3 linked regions of the Cricetulus griseus genome follow. Each later gene encodes a partner of the first gene's protein in a complex. Links are inferred from orthologs where the notes say so. Each region holds a gene or a part of one and is shown in the gene's direction. Other genes may lie near its edges.

The links.
Region 2: the proteins of Sort1 (region 1) and Grn are in contact, whole or in part, in a crystal structure (PDB 8T8S), measured with the Homo sapiens proteins. The link is inferred for Cricetulus griseus from reciprocal best matches to the Homo sapiens genes SORT1 and GRN. Residues at the interface, in NP_002950.3 of Homo sapiens: Leu108, Gly110, Ser111, Val112, Ser113, Leu114, Ile174, Gly175, Pro176, Lys260, Tyr304, Ser305, Phe306, Gly307, Leu308, Phe314, Ala315, Ser316, Arg325, Ile327, Phe350, Tyr351, Ser352, Ile353, Leu354, Tyr395, Thr398, Gly399, Thr402, Phe404; in NP_002078.1 of Homo sapiens: Pro578, Arg579, Trp580, Asp581, Ala582, Pro583, Arg585, Arg590, Gln591, Leu592, Leu593.
Region 3: the proteins of Sort1 (region 1) and Nts are in contact, whole or in part, in a crystal structure (PDB 4PO7), measured with the Homo sapiens proteins. The link is inferred for Cricetulus griseus from reciprocal best matches to the Homo sapiens genes SORT1 and NTS. Residues at the interface, in NP_002950.3 of Homo sapiens: Val112, Ser113, Leu114, Ser115, Trp116, Lys260, Tyr304, Ser305, Phe306, Gly307, Leu308, Phe314, Ser316, Arg325, Ile327, Phe350, Tyr351, Ser352, Ile353, Tyr395, Gly399, Thr570, Gly571, Leu572, Ala573, Trp586, Trp597; in NP_006174.1 of Homo sapiens: Leu152, Tyr153, Glu154, Asn155, Pro160, Tyr161, Ile162, Leu163.

What each region holds. Positions count from the first base shown.
Region 1 is NW_023276806.1:48,824,718-48,834,829, reverse strand, and holds the start of Sort1 (sortilin), read left to right. Parts: upstream 1-4,537; 5' UTR 4,538-4,567; coding exon 4,568-4,867; intron 4,868-10,112.
Region 2 is NC_048600.1:115,669,711-115,679,679, reverse strand, and holds the start of Grn (progranulin), read left to right. Parts: upstream 1-4,029; 5' UTR 4,030-4,102; coding exon 4,103-4,134; intron 4,135-6,540; coding exon 6,541-6,685; intron 6,686-6,795; coding exon 6,796-6,921; intron 6,922-7,039; coding exon 7,040-7,124; intron 7,125-7,552; coding exon 7,553-7,662; intron 7,663-7,762; coding exon 7,763-7,898; intron 7,899-8,022; coding exon 8,023-8,132; intron 8,133-8,320; coding exon 8,321-8,444; intron 8,445-8,582; coding exon 8,583-8,689; intron 8,690-8,776; coding exon 8,777-9,022; intron 9,023-9,234; coding exon 9,235-9,468; intron 9,469-9,556; coding exon 9,557-9,781; intron 9,782-9,868; coding exon 9,869-9,969. UniProt on the Homo sapiens protein: Secreted protein that acts as a key regulator of lysosomal function and as a growth factor involved in inflammation, wound healing and cell proliferation. Regulates protein trafficking to lysosomes, and also the activity of lysosomal enzymes.
Region 3 is NW_023276806.1:167,737,407-167,747,425, reverse strand, and holds the start of Nts (neurotensin/neuromedin N), read left to right. Parts: upstream 1-3,754; 5' UTR 3,755-3,904; coding exon 3,905-3,977; intron 3,978-6,130; coding exon 6,131-6,192; intron 6,193-8,541; coding exon 8,542-8,766; intron 8,767-10,019. UniProt on the Homo sapiens protein: Neurotensin may play an endocrine or paracrine role in the regulation of fat metabolism. It causes contraction of smooth muscle.

The sequences.
Region 1 (10,112 bases):
GCAGTGGTTCTCTGCAATAGTCATTGCCAGCACTTTGGTGCTGGAGATGAAGTCTGACTAGTCCAGCACTTCCCGGTGGTTAGTAGATGTTAATACCGCTGTCTCTTAAGGAAACATACACTCTGTTGCTTCCTTTATATGGAGACACTGCTCATTGACCATCAAAAAAGACTGTCCTGGGGGCCTCCCCCAAACATTGATGAGTTGGGACAAGTCATCCCTTTGACTCTACCCCTTCTTTGTATTTTGATGGACAGTCTGGGAAGGGTACTTTTTTTTTTTTTTTTTTTTTAATTTATTATGCATTGTGTTCTGCCTGCACACCAGAAGAGGGAGCCAGATCTCATTATAGATGATGGTGAGCCACCATGTGATTGCTGGGAATTGAATTCAGGACCTCTGGAAGAGTGCTCTTAACCTCTGAGCCATCTCTCCAGCCCATTTCTGTTTTTAAATTTATTTTTATTTTATGTACATTGGTGTTTTGCCATGGGTGTAGGTCCTTTGGAACTAGAGTTACAGACAGTTGTAAGCTGCCGTGTGGGTGCTGGGAATTGAACCCAGGACCTCTAGAAGAGCCGTCAATGCTCTTAACTATGAGCCATCTCCCCAGCTCCATCTTTTTATGAAGTTAAGGACTATTAAAAAGCAAAAAAAACAACAAAGGCATGGCTTTGACCTCAGTAGCAATGAGAGTAATACACTTAGCTGTATAAGTAAGAGAACTGTTAAATTAAAAAGTAAATTAAAAAGTTTCTGTTAGACTTTGGAGTGAACTATGAACCTTCATCCCTGGATCTGTCTCAGATGATTGGTTAAGATTAACAGGCATTCCATTCGAGCCTCAGAAATGACCATAGGAACACTACAAACAGATGGAGAACATAAGGCTATGTCAGTGGACATAGAAAATTAAATGGTTTAGGGGCTGGAGAGATGGCTCAGTGGCTAATATCACTCTTCCAGAGGACCCAGGTTTGGTTCCCAGCACTTACATGGCAGCTCATAATTATCCATAACTCCAGTTACAGGGGCTCCAACACCCATTTCTGGCTTCCCCAGACACCAGGCGTACATGTGTTGCACAGAAATGCAGACAAAGCATCCATATGTGCTAGGCCGTGGTGGTGCATGCCTTAATCCCAGCACTTAGGAAGCAGAGGCAGGTAGATTTTTGTAAATTCAAGGCCAGCCTTGTCTACAGAGTGAGTTCCAGGACAGCCAAGGCTATATGCAGAAACCCTGTCTCTAAATAAATAAATACTTTTAAATTAACAACAAAAAAAGTATTGGGACTTGATCTTAGGTTTTTAAAGATTTCAAATCTTTAAACCAGGTCTTAAGTATCAGGTAGTTTGAATGTGTGCTATCTGAAGCATGACTAGTATTTATTTGAGGGTGGTAGAGAATAAATTGCAATTCATTGGTAGTTTAATTATTATTTGCTGGGCTTTCATTCAGAGGCTGTGCTTTGATGTTAAATAGTAACTAGTTGGGTATCTGAATTCATACAAAAGTCATAGTGTAGCTTACATTTGAAAACTGAAATTCACAGGAAGGAGGAAATTTTGCCCTATGTACGCACACAATGAAAACTCAGAGAACTCAGGCTTATTATCAACATTCCACAGGTTTCTAGTGATGTTGATACTGTTATAAAGTATGAAGTGAGATTTGTTTAGTCCCTGGCCACTGTTGTATTAAATTGTAGTAGAAGATATTATTAAAAATCCTCGCTGGGCATTTGTGGCCCATGCCTTTAATCCCAGCACTCCGGAGGCAGAGGCAGGTGGATCTCTCTGAGTTCAAGACCAGCCTGGTCTACAAGAGCTAGTTCCAGGACAGCCTCCAAAGTCACAGAGAAATCCTTTCTTGAAAAAAAAAAAAAAATCCTTTATCAGAGGGGAGGTGGGGGGAGGGAATGGGAGAAGAGGAGGGAGGGGAAACTGTAGTCTGGATGTAAAATGAATAAATTCAGTTAATAAATAATACTTTTTAAAATCCTGTTTCAATTTAGTCATTTAAGAAATTTATTGGGAAGCGGTCTGCTATATGTTAAGTAATGCACTGGAAATATAACTGTGGAAATGCCATCTGTGGTCTCCATACGGCCTAGGAAATTTACATTTAGTGGATTTGTGTGCGTGTGAGCCTGAGTCTATGTGAGGAACATGAGAAGGCCTGAAGAGGACGTTGGATCCCCTGGAACTACAGGTGGTTGTGAGCTGCCATGTATGTGTGTGCTGAGATCTAAACCTGGGTCTTCTGCAAGAGCTGCAAATGCTCCTAAGGTGGAACTAAGGAAAAACTTAGTGTAACCTCCCACACTGCAGCTCTTCCTCCCATTTCCAAGACAGGTGTGGGCACTTTATAACTGAGTAACAGTAACTGCCATACTAGCTATAACTAATGTGCATTGTTTAGCGAGACACAATACAATGTTAAGGTTACCTGTGTCCAAGAAATGACCTTACTTCGAAAAGGAATGGCTTTGTGATAACAGACTATTAATATTTTTGGTACAAATAAATTTGGGGAAAGTAGTTTTTAGTAACTTAACATGTTTGTAAAATTTACTTCTGGGGATAAAGATCTGGTGTAGTCTACGTCAGAGGTGGAGCCCTTGGGTAAGATCCTGGGTTTAATCCCCCTTGTTGCAAAAAAAGAAAAAAATCGGGTGCATGGGCAACTTACATGTCAACAATTTGAGGAAATCTAGCATACTATTAAGTATATACCTAAAATCAACCTATTAAAAGTGAAGATTAATTCAGGAGTGATAGGTAGCACATGCCCGAAGTCCCAGAACTTGGCAAGTTGAGGAAGGAGAATCAAGGATTTGAAGCCACCCTGGGCTTCAAAAACAGACACCCCCCCCCCACACACACACACACTAGACAAAAACCTAAACAATTGTACCAACAGCTAAAAGATGTGTCTGGTAGTTTCTCCAGCAGGTGGCACTGTTGAGTTAGCTTTCTTTTCCCCCATAGTAAGACAATAGACCATTCATCTTTGTCACCCAAACAAAGAAATATGCCTTTTGTAGCCCCTCTTCTCCCCTCCGTAACTGATCACATGCTACTGGAACTGACTGCCTTGTGATCTAATCCATAGTTGGCACGAATTAAAAATAAGCTGTACTTTTTAAAAAAATAATGTGACGTTTTTATTTATGGAAAGAAACATTCATCATTTTTCATCTTGTTTGGTAGCTCAGAAACTGGATCACTTTTTCTGTTGATTTGCAGTCCTGCTCAGCATTCAAAGCTTCACAACTCACTTCTTAGAGTGGTTTGGGGGGAGGGGAAAAACCTAAATATGTGAATAGTTTTGTTTGTAAAGAACAAAACCAGTACTTTGAAGTACATGCTCTGGGGTTGGGTGTACATTACAGGAAAACTCTCACTTGGGAATACTGTTACTTTGAAATTAAAAGTAACTTCCAGTTTGCTTTCTCTCTGGAATAACATTTGGCATACTTTGTATCTTTTTATCTGGCTTTGTGTGTTCCTACTGAAAAACTTAAAACGCTGGGAAGAGATGTAGCTAAGGATTTAGAACTGGTTTTACCAGCACTGCATGTTCTGGAAGTTGTGTGCGCAGCTTCTGAGGCGTAGAAACAGTGGAGAGTTTATTTACTGCAGGTGGGGTACTAATTTAGGAGGCATCAGATTCTGAGAAGAAACTGGTACGAGGCACTCACTGCAGGATTAAGGGTATTTTAGTTAACTAAAATCACAAAGTGCCTGTATTGAAAGGATCATATACAAAGTAGGTTTTAGGCAACTCTCTTCCCGTTTACCTACACCTGATGGCAAAGTTACCAACATTTCCAAGTCCAGGGAAGCCAGTAAGTAATTCTGCCTCTGGACTACCTCCCTGCAGACAGGAAGGTGGCTGAGGCCAAACGTGTTGGAAAGACTTTTGCGGCTTGCACCAGTCACGGGTGTAATGATGTTCATCTGCCTCCCCTGGATTTTCGCATTCACCTTCTTGGCTCCTTCAGCAGACAATGGGCGAGCCAGAGAGCCGGGGTTAAAACCCTGATGCACCAGTTTATGTCGGAGCCCCCTTTCCAGCGGAGAGTAGTTCAGGGATTCCCTGACTTTTCCAGGCGCAGTTTCCACCGAAGGAATTTTTAGGAGCATTTCAGGGGGCGGGGAGAGAAGGCAACATGACCCAATCCTAACCCGAGGGTCTCTGGAGGCGCCGCGAACCCGGGGGCTGAGCCGGGAGGTGGGGGAAGCCCCCCGGCCGACTCGGGGAGCCCAGCCCGCAGACGCCGAGCGACGGTGGGGAATGACCTCAGCCGTCCCTGCCACGTTCCAGCCAATCAGTCCCGCATCTAGGCATCCGAATCCAGGACCCCCGAAGCCGGAGGCGACGCGAGCCAATGAGGAGTGGGCCGGGGAAGAAGGACAGGCGGCCAGCCTATGGGGGCGAAGAGGCCCGGCTGCGCGTATCCAAGCAGCGCCGGACTGGGCTCGGGGGTGTGGCGCAGCGCCGGCGGGGGTGGGCGGGCGCGCCGGGTGGCAGGTGTCAGCGGCGTCTGCATTCGGCGGCGATGGAGCGGCCCCGGGGAGCTGCGGACGGCCTCTCGCGCTGGCCCCTCGGCCTCCTCCTGCTCCTGCAGCTGCTGCCGCCGGCCGCCGTCGGCCAGGACCGGCTGGACGCGCCGCCTCCGCCCGCGCCGCCTCCGCTGCGCTGGGCCGGGCCGGTCGGGGTGAGCTGGGGGCTGCGCGCTGCCGCGCCCGGGGGCCCCGTCCCCCGCGCTGGCCGTTGGCGCCGCGCGGCGCCTGCCGAGGACCAGGGCTGCGGCCGCCTCCCGGACTTCGTCGCCAAGCTGGCCAACAACACGCACCAGGTAAACGCGCGGGGGCCCGGGAGCCCCCCACAGTGGGACCAACCCCTCCCGGCTCGCGGTCCCCCTCGGCCGCCCCTCTCCCGCTGCACGCTACGAGGCTGGCTCGAAACCCTGGCTGCGGAGGGCGGCGGGGCGCGGGGGCGGCGCGGGTCGGGGTAGCTGCGGCCCGCCGGGCTGTGTGTCGTCACAGCAGAGGCAATCCGAGACTTTCACTCGCCGCATTCTTTGGCTTCTCAAGTTGTCAGAATCTCCGGGTCATCCCCGTTTCCCCCCCAGCCCCCACCCCGAATCTAGAATATCGGGTCCACCAACGCTGTTACCTACCAGGAAGCTGGAGGCATAATTACCCCTTGAGTGATTGCGGGAGAAGTTGGGCTGCCCAGAGGCAGAGGTGTGCCCTCTTCTGGGTCGGTACTTTCGGGGTGGTGAGGCTGGCGTCCAGAAATCCCACAGCAGTTGTTGTTAGGTCAAGGCTTGGGTTTCCATATTAAAGGAACACGCATGGAAACGAAGATGACATTGAGATCCAGCCATAAAATGACATCTCCGCTGCTCCTAAACAAAACAAAACAAAACAAAACAAAACAAAACAAAACAAAAATATGGTTCAAGATGTTTTCTCAGGATGCAAGCGCAGAACCCTCTGACCTGACCCAAAATGACCTTGAGAGGCTTCCCGAACCAAAAACCAAAACCCTAAACCCTGTGTGCAGAGCCCAGAGAACAGAGCAGGACCTCTGGGACCTAGATTAGAAGCAGTTGCAGGACAGACCAGAATTATCCAGAAGTTCCATCTGGATGGTCTCACAGAGTTGCCAACTGTCCCAAATATGAGTCGGGGTTATAACCTATCACCCCTCTCTCTATAACCTGTCACGAACCCCAGGCTCTTTAAATTCCCTTGCTCCAGACCCATTGTGGAAAGAGGCTCCAGGGTGCCATGTTTCCTTGTAGGTGGACCTACGATGAGACTGGTGTTGGCTTCTGTGAGTGACCCGAGAGTCTATGATTTGTCTTATTCCTTCAACGCTGGCCTCTAACCTAGTGTTGAACCCTGATCAGGACCGCTCTATCCTGACCTGAATTCTAATAACTATAAAGCATACTACAGAGGTTCCTCTTGAGCCTCTTGGTCAAGACTTTACAAGTTGTGTTGTTTCTGTTTTGGGGCACAAGTATCCGAACCTTGACACATTACTGCATTGAGAAACTGTTGGCAAAGTCTTGGTTTCAGCATAACTAGAGCATTTTCCTCCTCTATTTTGCTAAAATTAACAATTGTTGCAACCCACACATGGGGGAAAGGCATCTTCAGTTCACTGTGTTTTCTGTTGTCTTTTCCTCTTTTCAAAGAGAAATTGTACACTGAGAGGGAAGTAGGTAACTCGTGTTCTGTACCTGTTCTGTCTTTGTTTACATTCCATCTCAGTGTCACTGGAACCTCAGTGTCCCCTTGGGCTTTCTTTTGAGATCCATCCTTGCTAGTGTGACATAATTATCCAATCAGGGGACACAAGAAAAACTGATGAGCCCAAGCAGCAAGCTGTATGAGGGTAGTTAAGAGGTGCTGAAGGGTGAGACTGGTTGGGCGCAGATAAAGTGGAATAAATACTGGAAAATCTTCCTATTTAATGAAAAAAATGATGTAGACTTCCCTTTCTCAGTAGGTTGAGAAAGAGTTTACAACACCGATACTTCATGCAGATTATGCCAGGCCCGCAGCTTCCTTGCACCAGCCAGACCCAGCAATCTTACCCCATATTTCAGATCCTTCTCTTGCTGCATGACCCGTCTTCAGATCTGCAACAATCCCTGGTTGAATATGTCATTAATAATAAACCGATTCCAAAGGAAGAGACAGAGAAACCTGGTTCAAGAAATGCAGAAACCTCCTTCTTTGGAATTCATAATCAAAGCGTTTTTCTCTATTTCATTTTATTTAGTTACAGTTTGTTTTTTTTCTTCTTCTTCAATCTTCTCTATTAAAATGGCTGGCTCCCCCCTCCTCAGTCATTACCCTTCCATAATTATTCTTAATCGAGTTTATCCTTTTTGTAATTTGAATGCCTGGGTTTCTATTGTTGTTTGTTTACGTGGAACCTTTGTTAACTGCCTTCAACTTAGAAGTCAAGGTAGTTCTCAAAAGCTCAACTTCTTCCAGAAATTATGAAGTAATTCTTGTGTTTTTCAAGTCTGTGTTTTCTCAGATGTCATAATAACATCACGCTACACTGGACTGAAGAGATCTGGTATTTGGGGACCCTTTATAACAGGGTGAAATAAAAGCATCAGCGTAACAGAACAACTTATTTATTAAATTTATTGTCAGAGACATTGTGTATTTTCAGACAGTTGGAGTGGGAAGGTGTTTTTTGGAGTCTTTTTTTTTCTGTAAAATGTGAAAGGATCCAACCCCCCCCCCCAGAAAAAACACAGAAGCTCTTAGTTCTCATTTCTTACAACTTGGTGGGTTTTTTTGGTTTTTGGTTTTTGGTTTTTTTTTTTTTTTTCTTTCAAATCCTATCATGAATGTGTGTGAATGCTTCCCAAAGGCTCAGAGCTGGGCGGGGAGGGGCTGCCAAATTACAAAGGTATTAAGGCATGACAATGCACAACTGCTAAAGGTTTTAGCAAGTCTCTAGACTGGCTCCTATAGCTTATAATAATTTATACCATGGTGGTAGGGGAGGGGTTGCTGGGGATTAAACCCCACACCTTGCTCATACTAGGCAAGTGCTTGTTCTGCCACTAAGCCATATTCCCAGCTCTAGCATTTCATCTTAGGAAATTTACAAAGTAAAGAGTATGCCTTTATATTGTGGCTTTTCACCCTATGCTGTGACTCGGGCTTCTTAACTCATGAAACCCAGTAAGTTGTTCTCTTCCCTGAGCCTCCCTGTTTCTCTCTAGGTTTCCTTTCATAGTCTTTTAGATCTTGGTTGTAAGTCTGTTTCAAGTGTGTTGTATTTATTTTGATGGCATATGCTGTTCACAAAGGGGTCATAATGAGTCAGTGATCTATGGGATTGAAGTAAGCAGAGAAAATACATCTTTTTCCTAGTTACAGTACTATCAATAAATACAATAAACTCGTAAGAAAGTGGAAATAAAAAATATTGGCTGTTACTGAAACAGCAAAAAGAATGGCAAGACAATGAAGGCCGAAGATCACTGCTTACATCTTACAAAAAACAAAACAAAACAAAACAAAACAAAACAAAAAACCACCCTATACTTCCTGATCTTGTTCTGAGGGTTTGGCATGCCATGGAAAGACTCTGCAGCCCCCTGGGGCAGGCGCTGGGCCAGGCTTGCCTGCGTTTGAGTTCTCACTGTTATTATGTTAGCTTCACTAAGTTACTTAAGCCTACCCATCTCGTTCCTAATCTTTAAAATGGAGCTAAGCAAGCATGCTTAGGAGAAGCAAACAAGGGTGCATAAAGTTACTCTCTGCATTAGCAGACCCAAAGTCCCTGATACTTAGCACTCAGTTACAAGTGTTGCTTTCTTTCTTCATCCATGGACTTTCTTAGCCTCAATTGTCTTCTATTGCTCTTAACCCCTTCTATTGCTCAGGCCTCAGTATTAAGCGACTGTTGCCTTTATGTGTTTGGAATGTTCACAGCACATATAACCTTTGTACATGGGAGAAATTGAGCAGGCCCAGAGGATTTTCTTAATCTTGGTTGCTAAGTTGGGTTGCTTCAAAACATTCCCCCATAAGCACCCCTTTGAGGGTAGGCATGAAAGTCTGTCTTAAAGAAACAGTAGACATGCCTTTCTTGGCCAGAGTCACAGTGGTGGCTGACATAATTTCCTTGCTTCTCATTCCTGTGTACAGACCATTTGATAATTTCCTTAAAAGTTCTTAAACTTATGATTAACAGGGCCGGGAGCCGTTGCTCACTCCTCCCTAGGCTCCTGTCACTGGCTACTTTACCCATAACTTCCCAGCTTCTACCCTGACATCAAAGCCTCTGGTTCCTTAAGCAAACAGGCCCTGTGGAGAGGCTGTTGTGCGGCCTCAGCCCTGAGAAGAATGCCTGTGTTTGTTTGCCACACTGGCAGGGCTGAGTCCCGGCAGAGGGCTTGGTGTGTCTGTTGGCGCCTTCGGAGAGCTGCCGTTCCCAGACTGTTGGGGATCACCAGACCTTTGTAACACCCGAAAATCTTAACTTTAACTGTCCCAGAACTTCCTGCCTCATTTACCCCAGCAATAGCCTGTCTTCATTCTGCACCCTACCCCACCCCCATCCTCCAATTCTCCACTTCCACTCTCCAGTTTATCTCATTTCTTACAAGGCCCTTTCCACTCAATTTTGGGTCAAGGCACAGGAATTCAGGAGGCTGCCCCTCTTGGTCCTGGTTGAGCAGAGTGAGCCATGGCCTCAGGGAGAGAAGCCCTCTCCCATACGGACAGGCCTGCTGGTGATTTTAGGATGACACATGCTCTGCATTCCCGGGGGAACCATTCGCAGCTATGATGAGTCAGGTCTCTTTCACCTGGGGAAAGGCTGATCTCCTGAAGGGCCCAGCTTTGGTTGACATGAAGGTAAAAGGCTAGCCAGGTGTGACAAATGGCTCAAAAGGAATAGGTTATAATAGGTAAGTTCACTGCTGGCTCCGGTATTTGCCTCTATGAATTGCAATTTTTAGTTAGAAGTTCTTGTGTTCTCTCTGCCTGGGAAGGTGACTGGAAGCAGCTCCTGTCTGGTCCGTTTCTAAAGGAACTCCTCTTTCTATAGCAATGTTAGCGACACTGCTCCGTCCGCTCTTCTGCTTTTTTGTGTGTCAGGCTCACGAAGGGAGGCTGCTCACAACTTCTTCTGAGCTCAGTCATTTGCAAGCAGCTCTTGTCAGCAGGCATCGTCTCCCAGTGGGTGACTGCCATGTCTGTACACCTCGGTTTCGTCATTGGTAATCTCTTACCCTATGTGATTACCAGATGGCATTTGTGGGCATCAGCGGGAGAACTTTCCTCCTCCTCCTCCTCCTCCTCCTCCTCCTCCTCCTCCTCCTCCTCCTCCTCCTCCAATCCTGTCCTCTCTCCCACCACCTCAATCTCTGCTATCCAGGAAATGATAGCTTCATTCGGATGCAGGAGAAAGGAGGCTCAGACGTTTTATACAATGAGGAACTAATGCTGAAGCAGAAAATGCATCCAATTTGACTTGCAGCCCCCATAGAAAGAGATAGATTATGCTGGCTCCAGAAATATTAGGAAAAAGCTACTATATTTGTGAGT
Region 2 (9,969 bases), on another chromosome or scaffold:
CCTGTGTGTCCTGGGGCCACAGCTGGAAGGCAGCTGCTCTGGTGTCCCATGAGAAGGGCAAAGAAAGAATGGCTCATGACAGAATGACTCAGGCGAGAGGCCAAGCGGGGTGCGGTGGGGGGATGGAGGGTGGGGAGGGATAGGAAATTGCTTTTATGCTCTCTCCAGCCTTGGTCTTCCATGGTTAAGCAGATAGAGCAAATAAAATTACAAAACCACCAGCGAAATTTCAGTTTCAGAACACAGTGGATAATTTCCAAGTGTGTCTCAAATGCTTCATGGGTGGTGCTTCTGTTGTTATTGTCTTTATTTTCATTTTTGTTCATAAGGCATACCTACACTAAAGGACATTTACTTTTAGAGTCTGGTGTGTGATGGCATCCGGAAGGCAGAGGCAAGTGGATCTGTAGCAATTTGAGGCAAGTCTGGTCTCCATAGTGAGTCCCTGTCTCAAAAACAAACAAATAAACGTGTGATTCAATTAACTGGACATTCTGAATTTTATCTGACATGTCAAGATCCTGGAGACTGGAGGAGCTCCCACACTGGTATAGTCATGGCCCTTCTATCGTGACAGAGCAGCAACCATGACTGACAAAAACCCTGAAGGGACTGTTGAAGAACAAGGGAGAGACTGGGAGAAGGGAAAGGTCACAGGAGGGAGAGCCCCACAGCCCTGACTTGGCCAACCAGAGCAGAGGGAGGTGTAACTTTACTGGGGATACCTACAAAAACCTCCATCACCCAACACAGGATGTCCAGTGACTTGCACAGCCTCCCTCCAGCATAGTCTGGCATCTGGGCATCAGACTGGAAGTGGACAGCACGTGTTAATAATGACAGTATCAGGACCTCTTACACACCAGGTATGTGCTTGATATGGAGCCACACCCAGTCTCTATTTTCTATTTATAAATTCTGACCAGGAATGGGACAAGACGAACACACACACACACACACACACACACACACACACACACTCACACACACACACACACACACACACACACACACACACACACACACACACACACACCACACACACACACACACACACACACACACACAACACACACACACACACACTCACACACACACACACACACTCACACACACAGTCACACACACACACACACACCACAACACACACACACTCAGTCACACACACCACACACAGACACACACATACCACACACACACACAGAGGAAAGATTGATCAATAGATTTTAGATGATTTAACATCACAAAACACAAAACACAAGTGACAGGCAGGGAGGGAATGTCTGCAAAATATGTAATATCCAGTATATATAAGCACCGACATAGTATAGTACAGTAAAAGTATAGGAAAACAGAGCAAAGGGTAACATGGTGGCTAACTCTGTGTGTCCCTTTATGTGTTTTGCATGATGTTAAATTTAGGTCTGGGTAGACCAAATTGCCCTTTATCATTTGAGTGGGGCTCACCCAAACAGTGTAAAGCCTGAATCATTAAAAAAGATGGTCTGGGGCCGGGGGCTGGAAAGATGGCTCAGAGGTTAAGAGCACTGGCTGCTGTTCCAGAGGTCCTGAGTTTGAGTCCCAGCAACCACATGGTGGCTCACAACCATCTATAAGAGGATATGATGCCCTCTCTGGTGTGCAAATATATGTACAGAGCACTCATATAAAAAGTAAGTAAAATTTTAAATAAAAAATGGCCTGGATTTGCTTCTACCATTAGCTTTCCTGGGCCTTGAACGCCCAGTCTACTCCAAAGATTTAAGATGGGGACCGGAGATGTGGCTCAGAGGTAGAGCACTTGTCCCACATTCCCCAACCCTACAACAAACATAATAAAATTCAGAGGCTAGGGTGATGGCTCAGTGGTCAAGTCCTTGCCCTGCAAGTGTGAGGTGGAGCTGTGCACATTGAAAGCAATGATGCTGGGAGTGGAGACTGGTAGATCCCAGAGGCCCATTGGCCAGCCTGGCTGAAATGACCATCTGCTGTTTCTGTGGGTGACTGAGGACATCTCAAAATATTAGGTAGAGCCGAGCACAGTGCCACATGCCTTTAATCCCAGCACTTGTAAGGCAGACGCAGATGGATCTCTGTGAATTCGAGGCCAGCCTGATCTACAGAGGAGTTCCAGGACAGCCAGGGTTACTCATAGAAACCCTGTGTCTCAAACAACAAAAACAACAGGCCCCTCCCCCCAACCAAGGCGGACATTGAGAGACTGACTGGCAAAAAATATCATTGTCCTATGATATATGTGAGCCTACTGCTCCCTCTGGCTGTCTCTTTCTTTCGAATTGAACCCAGAACATTTCATGCTAGGTGAGAGCTCTACCGTTACTTAAGCTATAGCCCCCAGAACTTTGTTTCCCATTTTATTTTTTTGTGTGTGTATGTTCTAGTGTGTGAGCATGTAAGTCTGTGGGTAGACTTATGCTATGGCATATGTGCAGAAGTCAGAGGATGACTTCTGGGGAGTCATGTCTTTGATTTTACCATGTGAGTCACAGGGATCAAACTCAGGTTGTCAGCTTTGTTGGTAAGTGCCTTTACCTGCTGAGTTTACCAGCCCCAGCCCCCAACAATTCTTTTTTTCTTATAAGGCAGTCCTGGGGCTGGGATGGAGCTCAGTTGATAGCATTTGCCTAGCTGACACAGGCCCTAGGCTTAACCCCAGAACCACAGAAACAGCACAGTTGCCTGCACTTGCAATCTCAGAGCTTGGGAGGCAGCAGGGGCAGGGAAACAAGAAGTTCTGGGTCATACTCAGATACATATCAAGTTGGAGGCTGATCTGGAACACAGGAGACCCTGACTCAGAGAGCTGCAAGGATACTGGGGCTGTGTTAAGCAATTACAGAATTGCAGAATTACCCTAGATACTCCACGTTGGCCTCCACTTTCTGGGATTCCTGTAGCTCTAGCCCAAGAAGCCCACCAGGCTCCTCTCTATGCAAGACTCTTACTGTCCTGGATTTATTCGTAGGGCTGTCCCCATTCCCCTGAGTGGCCTACCAGTCAAGCTCTTTGCTCCTCCCAGGGGACCTATCTTCCACACCAACTCTGCCTTTCCTACAAGGCCCAGCCTTGGGCTTTCCTGGGGCCTGTCCTCTTCCTGGCAGGTCTCCAATCAGCCATTTCTGTCTGGCCCAGGCCCTTTGGCACTCAGCAGCCTGGCTTTTGTTTCTGGCTAATCTGTTCTACTGCTAAAAATCTCTATTCATGGACCATGACAATTCCTCGAAGGTAGGGGTAGCTGAAACTAGGAGGCCTCTTGCACCTCCACAGCCACCAGCCTGCTTCACCAGCCCATGCCACATACTTAGCTCATGCCCAATGCCCTTACTTTGAATGTGGCTTTTAACTCTTGCTAGACACTGTACTCCCCATCTGCTTTCCTAACCTCTTCCGGAGTGCCTCTGTCCCGCCTAACCAGCCCCTTAAAATTCCTCTAGATTCAGTTCAGCGTGATACCATCTCCTGGCTAGCTCAAAGTGGATTTACATCTATTCTTCCCCTACCTTCAGCCAATCTCCTGCCTGGTACTCGCCCTTGAACATTTATTAGATTTAGTATCCCACCCAAATCTGGGGACTGTTTATCTTTACCCTCCCAACTATCTTTCAGCTTGTTTGGAGTCCTGGCTGCCTAGCGTGAAAACAGTGAATGTACAAATGTCCCGATCCAGAAGCCGACGCTATGCTGTAAACGACCTTGAACGCGCGCCCCGCAGGCGCCTTCTTAACTGTCGGTGGCCTTAGGTACGCAAGCCCCATCTCTAGAACACCTCGCCAGGCGCCGCCAGGGCCCTGGGGGGTGGGAGGAAAGCAACCGAACAAGCAAGCGAGGCCCTGGGGGAGGCGGGCTATGGTGTCATATGATTGCCTGGTCACATGATTCCTAGACATGGGGTGTGGGGAGAGAGAGGAAAGGGAGGAGGAGTGTGGATTGAGTAGAAAAGAAACACAGCATTCCTGGAGAGTCCCGCCTCTATGTAGACAAGTAGCCAATGGAAGCCCCGGATTCCCGACCCAGGGCTAATGGAAACTGAGGTGGGCGGGCCATCGGGCAGCCAAGCCCTAGTCCGAGAGCTGACAGCCAGATGCCTCCCAGGGAGTGCGGACCCCGAAGCAGGTAGGAGGACCCGCAGCAGACATCTCCCTGGCTGCTGTCCAGAGGCCTGGCCAGGCTTGCTGTGCAACTGAGGCTGCCCCGGAGCCTCAGCTCAGAGACGAGAGAAGTCCTGCCTCTTGAAACTCCCCTCGGGGTTTCAGATGCACTAACGAGGGTTTGTCATTTGGGAGGAGTGGGAACAGTTGCTGTAGACACCCCCAACAAGAGGCTCCCCTGCCCAGCATGTCGGAAAGCTGCAGGGCTTTCTCCAGAGCAGGAAGCGCCCCACTCTTGGGCCAGCTTCATCTCTCTCGGTGCCTCCCACCTCTTGTCTCCAGGTCCCGGCACTTTCTCATTCTGGTGCCGCCAGTAGTCTTCGCGGCGACTTGCAGTGGGTGGGGATCTCCCGCCCTTGGTCCCAGAGCTCAGAGGAGTTGGGAGCAGGAGTTGGGCGTGGTGGCAGAATCCCTGGGTTGTGTCAGCCGTACTTCCTTTATGGGGGGCGAGAGAGCTAACTTCCGCCTCTCCCCGCCACTTTTCCCTGCTCCTCTGCTGGATTGGCTCACCTTTTGGGAAATTCATCTCCCCTTGACACTCCGGAGTCGGGGGTGCCACCTAGTGGAAGATCTCGAAGCTAGGGCCTTGAAAGGCTCCTCCAGTCCTCTCAGGCTATTTCAACAGAGTGGTGTAGAGGTGGCCAGAGGTCACCACTCCCTAACCCTAATGAAAGGGATTAGGTCTCCCCTACCCCATTCTAATCTGGCCAGGAGATGACCTCTGGGATATTCTTTGAGAGGGTGCTTGAAAACCTAGAGAAGGAAGGGGAGGGGGCACAATGAGGGACAGATCCTCTATGTAGCCCAGGCTGACCTCATAGTCACCCTGTAGCCTGGAATTTGTAATCCTCCCACCTTAGCCTCCCAAGTGCAGGGATCAAAAGCATGTTTGTCATGCCTATCGGAAGCTTTGAGGTCTGGATGTTGGGATTTTGCCTTCCATGGCCACCAGTATTCAGAGTTTGAGGCACAGGAAACAATTTCTGAGGCCCTCAGCAATTGATCAGTGGCAGATTTTACACCGTCCCTGTACCCACCCTTTCTTTTGTAGATTTTTTTGTTTTGCTTTTGTTTTTGAGCAGGATCTTTTTGTCCCTGGCTGTCCTGGAACTTGCTATGTAGACCAGACTGGCCTTGAACTCACAGAGATCCACCTGCCTCTGCTTCTGGATGCTAGGATTAAAGGCGTGTGCCACCACCGTCTGGCTGTACCCACCCTATTTCTATCCTGTGTAGGTCACCTGCCTGGGAAATGTTCTGCCCGCTTCCCTCTGCTTGGACCTCTGGCCTCTGGGATTTGGGGTCCATTCCCTGGCAATGTTCAGGGATGTCAGTTGACATAAGAATCCAGGTCCAATATCTGCAGTCTGTTTTCTCTGACTTGATACCTGGGCATGGATTTGAAAAGTGAAAGTAATCTGATCACTGCTTTGCATAGTTGTGCAGAGAAATACAGTAAGGAAGGGCAAAGTGGCTCCCTGGAGGGTCTTTGAATATTGCTGTTTTTGCTGCCCCAGGCAGGGGAGTGTCACTCTGGGTTGCTGGGTAGGCCAGCTGTGCTGGGGAAAGACTTATTAGGGAAGTGAGAGACTCGGTTCCTCCTGCTAAGGCAGAGGGCCAGTGAAGAAGTACACTTAACTTTGCTCTTGCAGCTGAGTTTCGATTTCTGAGTAGGGAGAAACAGGTGGTATGTTTGAGGAGTCCAAAGGAGTCCTGGTGATGCTGAGGAGGGCTGGTTATGAAATTAGCTTCAAGGCTAATCCAGCCACCATGTGCCCTTCCCCTGGGTGGGGAGGGGACAGTTGTGGGCAGGCAGTGGCTGGCCTGTGGGAAAGGCAGCCCAGACTCCCCTGGCCACTGCACTTCCGTTTTCACAACTTTCTCAACCCCTGGTTTCCCATATGATCATGTGATTGACAACTCTGTTTCCCCAAGGCCTTTGAAAAGTACATGTGGGAGTTCAGTGCCAGGCAGCGAGGTGAGGCTGGCTGTCCTCTTGTGGCCGCTGAAGTCTCCTCCCAGTTAGCCCACAGTCCCATAAATCAAAGCCACATGGCTTCCTGACTGTCATAACTCCGCGCCTCTCCAGTCGCCTATAGTGTCAGGTGTTAGGCCAAGTGTGATGACATGATGGACACTTGTGTTCATGCCAGCATTCGTGCTCACCGTGTGTGCAAGCTGGTGCAAGTGTGATGCTTACAGTGTAGGATGCTGACTCAGGCAGCTGCTTGCCTTCCTGCTCACTTGTTGAGAAGTTTCAATAAATCCAAGGCATGTCATGCCTTGGCCAGGGCATGGGGAACTGCATGGACTCAGAATAGAAGGTGGCATAAGCTTAAGATGGCTGCCAAACTTTCCTTGGCATTTGCAGGCAGACCATGTGGACCCTGGTAAGCTGGCTGGCCTTCATGGCAGGCCTGGTGGCTGGAACACAGTGTCCAGATGGTCAGTCGTGCCCTATTGTCTGCTGCCTGGACCCCGGAGGAGCCAGCTACAGCTGCTGCAACCCTATTCTGGTGAGTGTCTCACGCCCCAGCTGGCATCCTGGCCTTTTGAAGGGTTACCTTGGATTGGCCAGAAGAGGTCTGGCACAGATCCTCTGGTATATGTCATTGCTTCTTTCCAGGACACATTGCCTATGGTAATGAGCGATCGTCTAAGTGGCATCTGTCAGGTCCATGACCACTGTCCTGGAAGTTACTCGTGTCTCCTCACTGTGTCAGGGACTTCCAGTTGCTGCCCTTTCCCTAAGGTGAGGGTGCTATTGACATAGGCTGTGTGCTTAAGATTTGCGTTTACCCCTTTCCACTTTCCTAGTCCCAGACAAAAGGCTTTTCCTAGGCCCACACAGGCTTCTCTGTGTCCCACAGGGTATATCTTGTGGTGATGGCTACCACTGCTGTCCCCGGGGCTTCCACTGTAGTTCGGATGGGACAACCTGCTTCCGACATTCAGGTGCTGTGGGGCACCAGGGATGGAGGCAGGTGGGGAGGGAGAGAGGGGGGGTGGGCATGATGTGGTACCTGAAATGCCCAGGAGCCCAACTGCTTGGGTGGCTCTGATTCCTTTTCTGCTCTGAACAGAGGGGTGGTTCACAGAGTAGAAGGGGACAGACAACGATGCAGAACTCCAGGTGATGTAGGCCATGGAGAGGCCATGCTGGAGCGATTTAACACCCGCCCACTTTCCTTGGATGCCTCTGTCATCTCTCTGAAGTAGGGGCTAGCTTGTGGGAAGAGTGGCCTGGGATCCTGGGTGATCACCTAAGCCCCAGTACCAGCTATTAGACCTTCTGAAGCTGGCCCTGCAGTGCCTGTAGTGCCGATGCTGGGGGTGACCTTTGCTGACTGGATTGGTGGGATCCTGGACTCTCCTATCTGCAGATAGCCTCCTGAGGGCTGTCCAGTGCCCCGGTAGCCAATTCGAATGTCCGGAATCCTCTACCTGTTGCGTTATGCTTGATGGTTCCTGGGGGTGCTGCCCCATGCCCCAGGTACAGATGTGGGGAAATGGGGGTGACTAGCGGGTAGTAGGGGTACAGCTGGGAGTTGGGGCTGATGAAGATGGATTATGGACCATCTATCTCTTGTCAGGCCTCTTGCTGTGAAGACAAAATACATTGCTGTCCCCATGGGGCCTTCTGTGACATGATTCATACAGAATGCATTTCACCTAGGGGCACCCACCCCCTGTTAAAGAAGTTCCCTGCACAAAGGAAAAGCAGGGCAGGTGAGCAGGGGAGAAACCATCCAGCTAGCACTTGGGGTGGGGGGAAGCCACATTAACTCTTGGCTAGAAAAGAAGTTCCCCTCCATCCTGGCAGCCCCTCCCTCACATCTCATTCCTCTTTCAGTGGCTTTGCATTTTTCGGTGGTGTGCCCTGATGCCCAGACCCAGTGCCCTGATGATTCTACCTGCTGTGAGCTACCCAGTGGGAAGTATGGTTGCTGTCCAATGCCCAATGTGAGTGAAGAGCTGTGCCTGGACATATCCTTACAAGGGGGCTCTAGGAACTGGGCTGATTGCCGGGAGCCTCAAGGCTCATGCTGCCCCCTAGTGGGAGATTGGGGCAGTGTTGGTCGTCAGTCTGGCTTGCTCCCTATGCTCTCTAGCCACTGGAATTCAGGGTCCCATATTTGTCCCTACCCTAGGCCGTCTGCTGTTCCGACCATCTGCACTGCTGTCCCCAGGACACTGTGTGTGACCTGATCCAGAGTAAGTGCCTATCCAAGAAGTCCACCACGTACCTCCTGTCCAGGCTGTTTGGAAACCCAGGTACAGGGGGTAGACTATTTCATCCGCTCAGTTCTGGAACGGATGTGGGGGTGGGTGTTTGGCTGCATGGAGGGACCTGCCAGATGTATCCTGTGGATTGAGATAGCTACATACTCCATCTTCAACACCTGGTTCCAGTGCCTATTCTGAAGGAGGTGGAGTGCGACTCGGAGGTGAGCTGCCCAGATGGATACACTTGCTGCTACCTTACCATCGGGTCCTGGGGCTGCTGTCCATTTAGCAAGGTACCTGGGAGCAGTGGGTATACGCATCCAAACAGCCTGCAACTAGCTTGGCTCCAGTACTTATTGGTCTTTCTCTGCCCACCTTAGGCTGTGTGTTGTGAGGACCATATACACTGCTGCCCAGAAGGGTTTCATTGTCACACAGAGACAGGAACCTGTGAAATGGGAGGCCTCCGGGTGCCCTGGATGAAGAAGGTCAAAGCCCCCCTCAGCCTGCTAGATGCAGAAATCTTCCAGAGTGATGTCCCCTGTGATGACTTCACTGTCTGTCCTCCTGACAATACCTGCTGCAGACTCAGTTCTGGGGGCTGGGGCTGTTGTCCCATCCCAGAGGTACAAGGGTAGGGGGACAGGAGTATGGGTGTGGGGACAGCATCTTGGCCTGGGCAGGTGGGTGGCAGGTGTCCTGTTGCTTTATTTTTATGCATTCTGCCTAGTCCAGGGTGGTACCCCGGGCTGTGGTTTGCCCACTGGTGGAGGATCTATGAGCAGGAGAGGGATTTCCATAGTCCCTCCAAAGAACACTCTTCTCTGCCCACCCCTAGGCTGTCTGCTGTGCAGATCACCAGCATTGCTGCCCCAAGGGCTTCACATGTACAGCGGAGGGGTACTGTCAGGGGGGAAACAGAATGGTGGCTGTCCTGGAGAAGATACACCCTCACGAGACATTTCTGTCCCAAATTGGAGATAACAATTGTGACCAGCACACCAGCTGTCCGGTGGGGCAGACCTGCTGCCCTAGCCTAAAGGGAGACTGGGCCTGCTGCCAGTTACCCCATGTGAGTTTCCACCCACCGACCTGGGCGAAAGGAGCTGTGTTCTTGGGTTAGTATAGCACAGCAGTGTGATACCATCCCCCATTCCCAGGCTGTGTGCTGTGAAGACCGGCAGCACTGCTGCCCGACTGGGTACATCTGCAACGTGAAGGCAAGGACTTGTGAGAAGGCTGTGAATTCCATCCAGATTCCTGTCCACCTGACCTTAGGCCCTCAGGTTGGGGAAGTGGAGTGTGGGACAGGGCATTACTGCCATGATGGCCAAACCTGTTGTAGAAACAGCCAAGGAGGCTGGGCCTGCTGTCCCTACCTAGAGGTCAGTGCCATCCCTGATCCTGGGGCTGGGTGTCACCATGGGGTGGGTTCTGCCTTGTCCAGTACTAACTCTCCCTTGACCATCCAGGGCACTTGCTGTGCAGATGGCCATCACTGTTGTCCCATTGGCTTCCACTGTTCAGTCAAGGGAACCAAGTGTTTTCGAAGGAAGATCCCTCACTGGGACAC
Region 3 (10,019 bases), about 120 Mb from region 1:
GTTTTAGGAGAACTGGGGGAAAACAAAAGGCAATGAGAATACCTCAGATTTCTAACTTGGGAAGTTGTGATGGAATCAGATCACAAAAGAAAGTCTTTTTAAGATGAACAACAATATCACAAGGAGTACAGAACAGTGGAAGGAAGACAGCAGGCTGCAGATGATAGAGAAAAGGCATCTTCAGGTGTGTGTCAGTACAGAAGCATCAGCAAGCCTAGGGAAGGTTCAGTCATGTGAGGGAGTCTCTGAATGTGCAAAAGGAGCTGGTGTGGACCTGTAGGGCCACCGTCCATCAAGTGGTTTCAGGCTCTCTCTTCTCCAAATTAGACAAGTTTACACATCACTGTTTTATAATTACTAATTACTTAGATGTCTTTGTTGATTATTTTGAGAAACTGGTTAATAAATGTGCAACAAATGTCTATCCAAAAGTAGAAGTCATCTCCTGTAGAGATCTTTCCATCACCAGGACACTGTGACCTTGAGCTGGAAACCCAACTCATGAAGAGTGGCACAGCTGAGCACAAGTTGCTTATTACTCCATGAAGCAGCATTCCAGGTAAAACTGCTGTTGAATAAAAATTGTTCACATATATCCATAGAAAGATACCTACAATTCTGTGTGAAAGGTATGATTTGTGTCAGTTTCAGTGCGTGTGTGTGTGTGTGTGTGTGTGTGTGTGTGTGTGTGTGTGTGTATGTGTTTATATGTGCATGGTGTATGACCATGTATATGTTTTGTGTGTGAATGTGTGTATGCATGTGTATATGTGTGTATGTGTATGAATATATAAGTATGTGTGTATGGGTGAATGTGTAGATATGTGTGTGTATGACATGAGCAGGTGTATGAGAATGTGTGTATGTTTGCAGGTATATGTGTGTATATCTGTGTGCACATGTGTATGTATGTGTGTCATTGTACATACATGCAACTGCATGTGTATGGAGGCCAGAGACTCACAGTGGGTACCTTTATTTGATTCTTTTAAGAGAGACTACCAATGAAACATGTAGTGGCATCTTGGTCTGCCAGTGGACTTGGGGTGGTGGCCATAGAACCTGAAACGCATATATTTGCTTAAGTTAGGTTGCCAAAGTACTTCAGTTCTCCTTAGCCTTTTCTTCCCTCCCTGCAAGTCTGTCATTAATAGGAGCACACTACTACTCCCAGCATTTTACACGGGTTCCTGATATCCAAACTCACGTGTTCATGCTTTTACTACAAGCTTTTCATCAAATAAGGCACCTCTTCTGATGATATGTTTCACTTTGCTATCCATTTCCATTGAGAACACTTCCTCCCACTCTCAGCGTTCCTTAGTTGCCTGTAGTTTTTGAGTAGATTAAGCTGCCTACTGTGCTCTCCTTTGTCCATGTTAGTATGTCTACTGATGCTTGATGCTTCAGGTCGTGTTTTGGCAGTCATGTTGGTGAGACATTAGGATGTAGCTTCTGACATTGTAGGAGACAAGCTCTCATAGCAAACTCCCAGTTTTTCCTGTTCTTACACTCTTTCTGCCCCATCTTCTGCAATGATCCCCAAGCTTTAGATGGAGGAATTGTGGGTTCGTTTTTTTCATTTTTTACTTACTTTAAATATATTCAAATCACCTATTCTGAATGGTCTTCTGCCACATTTACAAATTGTCAGTCTTTTTACTCACAGTATGTCTCAAAGCACTTTGTGGGGTATTTGTTTCTCTGTCAGGTCTCTGTTATTTTGTTTAGAAATAGCTGAGTCTCAGAGAAGCCCTGTCTTGGCCATTCTGTTTGCTATGGCTCCCAGGAATCAAGCCTAAACCACTGGGCACCTGTACCTTCCTGCCGAAACAGACTCTTTAATAGTCTTTCTACAACAGCTCCAGTAAACTAGGCTAAAAGGGAACGGGTAGAGTATTTTATAATACCAGTGAAAGTCATTTACCAACACTGTAACAGAAAAATTACCTACGATAATCTCTGATTTTTGTGTCATTTGACATTGGTTGATACATATTCTTGTAATATTTCTCTGGAATCATACAACTAAAAATAATTCTCACTTTAACAATGAATATTCATGTGGTATGCTTAAAATGAGTTAAAATGTTATTTTTTCTTAATTATTCAGAAATACATTTATAAACACTTCCCCAAGCTCCACTTGCTAGGAAATCACTCGGGGGAATAAGCATCAAATTTTCCTTTCACTATTAGAAGGCTAGCACATATTTTAACACCTTTTTGAAGATTATTCTTTGTGTTTTAAAATTTAAAAGCAAAGAAAATAATTTAAATATTATGCAAATAATATAATTTATTGTCTTCATTAAGTCTGAAATTATTCTGGGATAATGAGAAAAGTAAGTAACCCTGCTCCCAGTGAAAATGAAAAGCCTTCTAAACTACCACTGCTCCCCCCAGTGGTAGAAAAAATCCATGCATGCTCCAGGCTTGCCAGTCAGTCATCCTTGAGAAAACTGTCAAGAGTTGAATTCAGTATATTTGTGTCACAGAAACTACAAATCAAAATTAAAATACCATAAAAGACAACTACTATTTAGCTTTTGGGCAATAGGAATGTATAGTAACTTCCTTTAAGTTTGGTGCAAAGACTGAGACGTTAGTATCATAGTAAATACAGGATAGTATAAACCCACTGTCTGAAGTACCAATCTTGATTTTCCCTTTAGTTATTATTACATGGTTAGTGTTCTGAACAAACTAAACAAATTTCAGAAATCTTTGCTTTCAAATATTCATATCCATAATACCTACCAGTTCAGAACATGCAGGAATAAAGCTAGTCCCCCCAAAAGGCATTTGAGCTATACGCCCTTGCAAGAACCAAGAGAAGGAAAGAATAGCATTGTAACTCACAAATTATCTGAGAATTCTTAGAAATTTGACTTTGGTGAATAGCTACCACACAGAATATTTTTCTTTCTAAATGTAGAATCTCATTTTGACAATAAAAAAGAAGATCAAACTGAGAGGGGGCAGTTGACAGAATGCAGAAAAAAGTTAGGAGAGTTCGGTGAAATAAAGGAGAGAGAAAAATAAGGAAGCGATGCATGGTTTACCTTATAACACATAAGCTGTTTATGTCTTTATTATTTTAAACATTCAATTAAAGTCCAACATATGCAGTTTAGTCTTTCCCCAGTTACATATAATAAACACTCAACTCAGTGGCAAATAATACTATTCATTGGATCTAATATTCTTCCTTTTAAAAACTGATTTTCCCTTTCTTTGATTTGTTTTGTTATCTCATTATTGTTTCCAACTTGTGCCTATTTCCATTCTTATTTTAGCATGTGCAATGTACATTTTCTATGAGTTTTGAAACCACAAAACATTTTCTCTAAAGTTTGTGTTACCAGAAAATATATTCAAGTTTTTAAGTCTCCGAAGCATAAGGAGTCACTGATTTTGCCCTAGAGCTTTTGCCTAAATACTAGGAATATATCAGATATCAAAATGACAACTCCTGGAGCAGGGGCATGGGAGAAAATCAAGAAAGAATGCTACCAGGAGAGCTCACTATGCTGTATATGCCAGTGCTTTTTTTTTTTTTTTTTTTTGAACAACTCTTTCCGTGAGTCAGAAATCCTGAGCAACAGCTGCAATTAGGGAAGATCGTCACTTTCAATCAAGGTTCATGGGTGGGGGATGAGATGAGGGACAAAGGAAAAGGAGGAGGGAGTGGGGGGAGAAGGGGAGGGATGGAGATGAAGGCAGGGCACATCCTGTACAGTCATGACATCACCCTCCTGCTCATATATATATAGGGAATGGCCAGAGCATCCTTCATAGTTCACTCATTTTCAAAGCCAGCTGAAGGCAAGAGAAAGCACGGAGAGAAGAGCTCCTTCAGTGTTTTTCTGACTGTCTGGACCTGCTTGTCAGAGGCTGAAAAATGATGGCAGGAGTGAACATCCAGCTAGTGTGCCTGGTGCTTCTGGCTTTCAGCTCCTGGAGTCTGTGCTCAGGTAAGTGCAACTACCTTTCACAACTCTCCTAAGTGATTTCTCTCTTGCAGGCTGCTGCTGCTCAGGTTAATGGATCCAGGAGGAGCTCCTCTCTCTTTCCCTCTAACTGCCTGTTAGTGACAGAAACTGTGAATATCACGTTTCTCTCCTGTTCTGATTATAAGAACTGAACTGTTTGTTTTACTTTTAAGAATCTGTAAAGCTGTAAATGTGGTATCAAGGAAATACAACATATTTATTACCCTTTGGAATATAACCACTAAAGAGAAAAGAGATAAGAGTAATAAAACAAAGATGAAAATTTGAATTGGGCTGGTCATTATTGAGGAGAATTGAAGCAGTGCTTGTCAGCATGCAGATATTAAAATATCACATTCACAAACATTTATTCTCATCTTTTCTCATTCTCTTACATGGTGACTTACCTTTGTGATTCTTTTCAAATTATTTTTAACTCTATGTGTTTGTTCCGACACAGGAAATAAATATCAATAAATAAATGAGTGAGCCTTATTTACAGAATACTATTTTTAATGTAACACAAAATGTCTCATGTCCTTTCTAAAAGTACATTTTATAGTCTTTCATTGTTACAGAGTTGTAATATTTATGTAGCTGTTGCTTTTCTGGATGTAAGTTAAGTAGGCAGAGATTATAACCACAAAATTTATATACTTACATTTATGACAAAATTTGGCTTCAACGTGTTTTTATATGACAGCTAAAGAGAAGAAATATATTATTATCAGATATGTATCAACTCTCCTTGAAAATAAGATACATTTGAAAGAGTAATGTGAAATATTTTGATGATTGCAATGTGTTTTAATTAATAATAGACAATAAATGAACAAACACACCACAGTGGAAATTCCTATGGGATAAATGAAATAAAAATCACTTACCTGATACTTGTAGATATTATAGTTAACAACTAGGAATCTAACATGTTAGTTTAAACTCCTGCTAAGATTTACAAGTACAAATATAACTCTAACAGCATGGAATGTTATTTGTTTAGAATGATTTCACTATTTTGTAAGCATAAAATCCTGTAAATGTTTTATGAGAACAACACAGTTTCCCATAAATACGACTTTATCAAATTAGTTATAATTAGAGAATTAAGTAGGTTATTGATTAAAAACTCTATATTAATTGAAATCATTTTTCTGTGATAAGTGTATATTTTATCAGTAATTAATATGATTAATTTTGTTATTCATCTTGAAAAACAAGCAAACATGTATTTGTAATAAGCCAAACTAAAGTGTCTCTGGAATGACTTAGTTCTTACATGTGCTTTATTGGTGGGTTGCATCAGGTGGGTGTCTGTGTTTTAATGACTGTAGAGTGGAAGACTTTTTTTAAGCTCTGCCTTGATTTATCACAAAAGGCTAATGGATATTAAAATGTTCAACAACTGTTTAATATTTCTAAATGTTGCTTCTCTATACAATGCTCATAAAAGGAATGATGGAAAATGTGTTCCAAAATGATTCAGGGATCTGTTTTCAATACTGCTTACCATGTGTTGATGGAGAGCTCTGCCTTTGCTTAAGCCATTTCCTCACTTGCTTATGATAAAATTGAAAGCACACGATCCAAAACTCTTATTTAAAACAGAAACTGATTCCTTCAAAGACTGTTTTATAGAATGACATTTGTAGTGAAGTGAATCTCAGTATCATTTTTATTCTAAAATTACTAGTGAGAAATTCCCTATGGCTTCTCCAGGAAATAAGAAACAAAACTTGTATTCATATTTTGTTCTTTATTCCACACATAGTTTCTATATGTGTGAACTACTGCTGGTAAGAATGAGAATTAGGGAGCATATTTGCTAAGGTCTACATTAGACAATATAATTAAATGTTTTACTGTGATTCAGAGATGAAACAATTCTAAATCATGGATACATTGCTTAGCAAATTATCATGGCTCATTTTCTTAGAAGTGATTTATTACTGTAGCTGTCAGCAGAAAATTAAGCTGTGATGTGTTTCTTTCTGAATACTGCTTTGAAGGAATTACATGCAGAAGACAATCAGCTTCAGAGACTAATTATTTAAATTAATTTGAAATATATTGGTTGCAATATAATGACATGATGTGTGACTACATAGTAAATGTGTGGTTTTGATTTTATTCAGACTCCGAAGAGGACATGAGAGCATTAGAGGCAGACTTATTGACAAACATGCATGCATCCAAGGTAATTTTTCTTCCCTTTAATCCAGGCCAGAAGAACATGTGAATTCCCACTCTAAACACTATATTATTTTCTTATTCTAATAAATATAGGTATAGTCACCCACCTCAAAGCTGGAAAGGCCTTTGGGAGACATTTCTTATTTGAGAGATTTTATTTTTTCTTGTAAGACAGTAGTTCTCAACCTTCCTAATGTTGTGATCCTTTTGTATAGTTCCTCTTGTCGTGCTAAACCCAACCATAAAATTATTTTCATTGGTAATTGACAACTCTAATTCTGCTACTTTTATGAATCACAATGTGAATATTTTTAGAGATAGAAGTTTGCCAAAGGGTTTGTGACCCACAGGTTGAGAACCACTGTTCTGAGGAGTCAGGGGTTTTGATATGAAAGATAAAGTGTCTATAGGGCTGTCAATTGGTATGTTTCAATTTTAATTAAGCAGGCACAGATAATGTTATGGAGACAGGGAAACATGCTTAAATTGTTTCCATGACTATTAGATTGGCAGAATGAAAGGTATGTTTGCCTCAGGTTAATGGAACAAGTGAAGTCCAATAGAAAGGTTTATGTTTTTGTTAATTGTGAAAAATGTATTTTCTAAAATATGGCATGAAGGCAACATGGGGAGGAAATATGGCATAGAAAAAAGTTATAGACACACAAACATTAACCTGGAGATCCAGTCCTAAAAACAAGACTTCTGCTCTATTCAATCTTAGGCAACTGAGTTAGTTAATAGGATTGATCTTGGCTTTCCATATCTTTTTAAGTACAACAGCAGGAGTGTAGAATGTAGAAATTTACGTTTTTCTCATAGGTGATTATAAACTCTACTACCTATAACAGAGGTCACATTCTCATTCTTTCAAAAGCATTAGCAAAAGATATCCAATTGTTATTGAATGATTTCACCGAAGTTCTATATTCTGAGCAAGATTTTGCAAGCTTGAGAACACCTTTTCTAATCACCAGTCTTTGCCTAGGAATAAAACTGTTACAATATATCACATTACCATGTTACACTAGGAAATTAATTGATTCAGAATTAGTTAATCACTGTATATCAAATTGATTGTTAAAAGACAGGTTTCCAATGAAAAGATCTAAACTTATAGCTAGGTGACACCAGATGACTTTAGTTATGTGCACTTTGTTGACAACCTCAGATCCACCATCTGATAAGTTGATCTCAGTTCAGTGACTCATAGATAGGGAGGGTAAACCATATCTCTTAGGTTACATGTAATAATGAAACAGAGGTGATGAGGACTATATTTAGAATTTGTTATTTAGACATAAAACTTTCTTCAAATATATTGTCAAATATGTGTCTCCTTTGTTATCCTTTGCTCCAGTTCCGTTTCCTGACAGGAGCCACAGTGACATTTTTGACTGTTCGACAAAAAGAAAAGTATGCAGTCAGTTATCACAACTTTTTGACCTCCCTTTACTTTCTGTGTGCAAATGTGTGTGGGGAGAATATTCTTGTCTAGTCTATTTCCTACCAACCCACATATGCATTCACATGTAAGATCTCAGGATATTTTATTTTAAAACTTTTCGATTTCCTTTAATGCTAATGTAGTTGATAATAGAATGTTCTTTTAAAATTATGGAGGTGTGTATATAGTTTTTGCTATAAACACCACCAAAAGAACCAGACTAAACAGGTTACACACACACACACCACACCACACACACACACACACACAACACACACAATATATATATATATAATATATATATATATATATATTACACAAATAAATGTGTGTGCTTAAACAGTAACAACCAAAGAAATGAGGCCATAAACTTAAGAGTAGTAGCAAACATGGGAAGGAGTTGAGAAAGAGTATGTGGGAGAGGATGGCAGGGGGAAAGTGATGTAATTCTATCTCAATGTAAAGTCTATTTTAACAATAGTTGAGGGCAGAAACAATGTTCTAAGAAACTAATCTTAGGAAACACTGAAATAAAAAATCTCTATAGAACTTTCCAAATGTAAAATTGAAATAACATTTTAACTTGTAAGGCATTAGGTATTGTTGAAATTAAATGAAGATTGTTTCTTCTAAAATGTCATACTAACTCAGAAAATTGCATGCAATGGTTGGATAATCTTGGTTAAGACAGGTAGTAGAAAGGATTCCAAGATTCTTGAAAACAGAGTGAAAATCCTTATACTCATTGATTGGAATTTCTGTGAGTTAAGAAGATAATAAAAATGATTCACACATTCACAGTTCTATCAAAAGTAGAAATTAAAATACTATGGCTGACCACAATCAATGCATAATTCCTACTCTACTAACAGACTTTAATTGTAGTATCTTTTTTCAATATTTCAGATCAGCAAAGCAAGTCCTCCCTCTTGGAAAATGACCTTGCTAAATGTCTGCAGCCTTATAAATAACCTGAACAGCCCAGCTGGGGAAGTAGGAGATATGCATGAAGATGATCTTGTTGGAAAAAGGAAACTGCCTGTTGTTCTGGATGGCTTTAGCTTGGAAGCAATGCTGACCATATTCCAGCTCCAAAAAATCTGCCACAGCAGGGCCTTTCAACACTGGGAGGTACAAAAGAACCCAAAGATGGACATTAGGGTCATTGCACTAGTGGGCTCTCGTTTGTATTTATGTCTACACCCTGATAAAACCATAGTAGGGAGACTTACAAATACTAGAAAGTATTGAATCATGTTCTGAAGTCAACATCCTTCTTACCTTCAAAGTGTCCTTCAAATATTTGGAGAATAACAAACATTTTTCTTCAATCTTTAAAGGATAATACTATACATAAGGCACATTTGAACCATATATGTGAATGGATCAAACACTGAGGCAGTTTTTTATTATACTGGCAATAGTGACGCATGTCAAGAAATTTAAGTAAATCCAACTGTTTTCCTAAAATCAAAAATCATGTGTACTTACCTATAAACAAACACAATACAAAAGTTTCAAAGAAAATAGAGGAAAAATCAGAATGCTGGGTGCAATTCACAGATTAGCATGTAAATAGGAATTGCTTTTCAGCTTTTATATTTGATTATTGGGCAAGTAAAATATTTAATTTTTAAAATAATTATACATATAAATATATGTATAGATGTGTGTATGCTCATGCACATACATAGCCACATATGGAAAGGCCTTTGAATTCTAGATTAATAGTAAATGTAACTTTTACTTTCAACATTACATATCCATATTCTAGATGTTCTGTCATCTACATGTTCTGAAACAAACATTGTCAATTAGCCATGGTCCTCTTAAGACTCAAAACTTAAATTCAGAAAGATAAATAACCAGTCCTTAGGTATATCCAAATTGGATTTGGTTCTTCAACCATTAGTTTTAACTCCAAAACATACTTTACTACTGATAAAATAAACAAGTAACACATCACTGAAGAATGGCATTAGGGATGCTGTAAATGTATCTTTAGATTGTTTATATATGCATTTTTTGAGATTGGGTTATATAGTTATGTAACCCTGGATGGCCTATAACATAGTATGTATCACAGAATGGTCTCAAACATGTAGCAATCCTCTTCTCCCTGCCCCCAAAGTACTAGTATCAATGAGTGCACTACCAAGTCTGGTTGACCTGTGATAAAGGGTAGAAAAAACTGAAAATTTTAGTAATCTACAAATTACCAAAATAGCATTCTCAACAAACACTTTATTTTTGTATTACCTTGGCATACATTGCACTAAAAAAGTAAATTAGAGCTTTGGGAAGAAGTAACAGAAATTTGAACTGAAAGAAGGAAAATGTGGAAGGCAACCAAATGTTTCTAAAAGGAAAAATGGAACTCGATT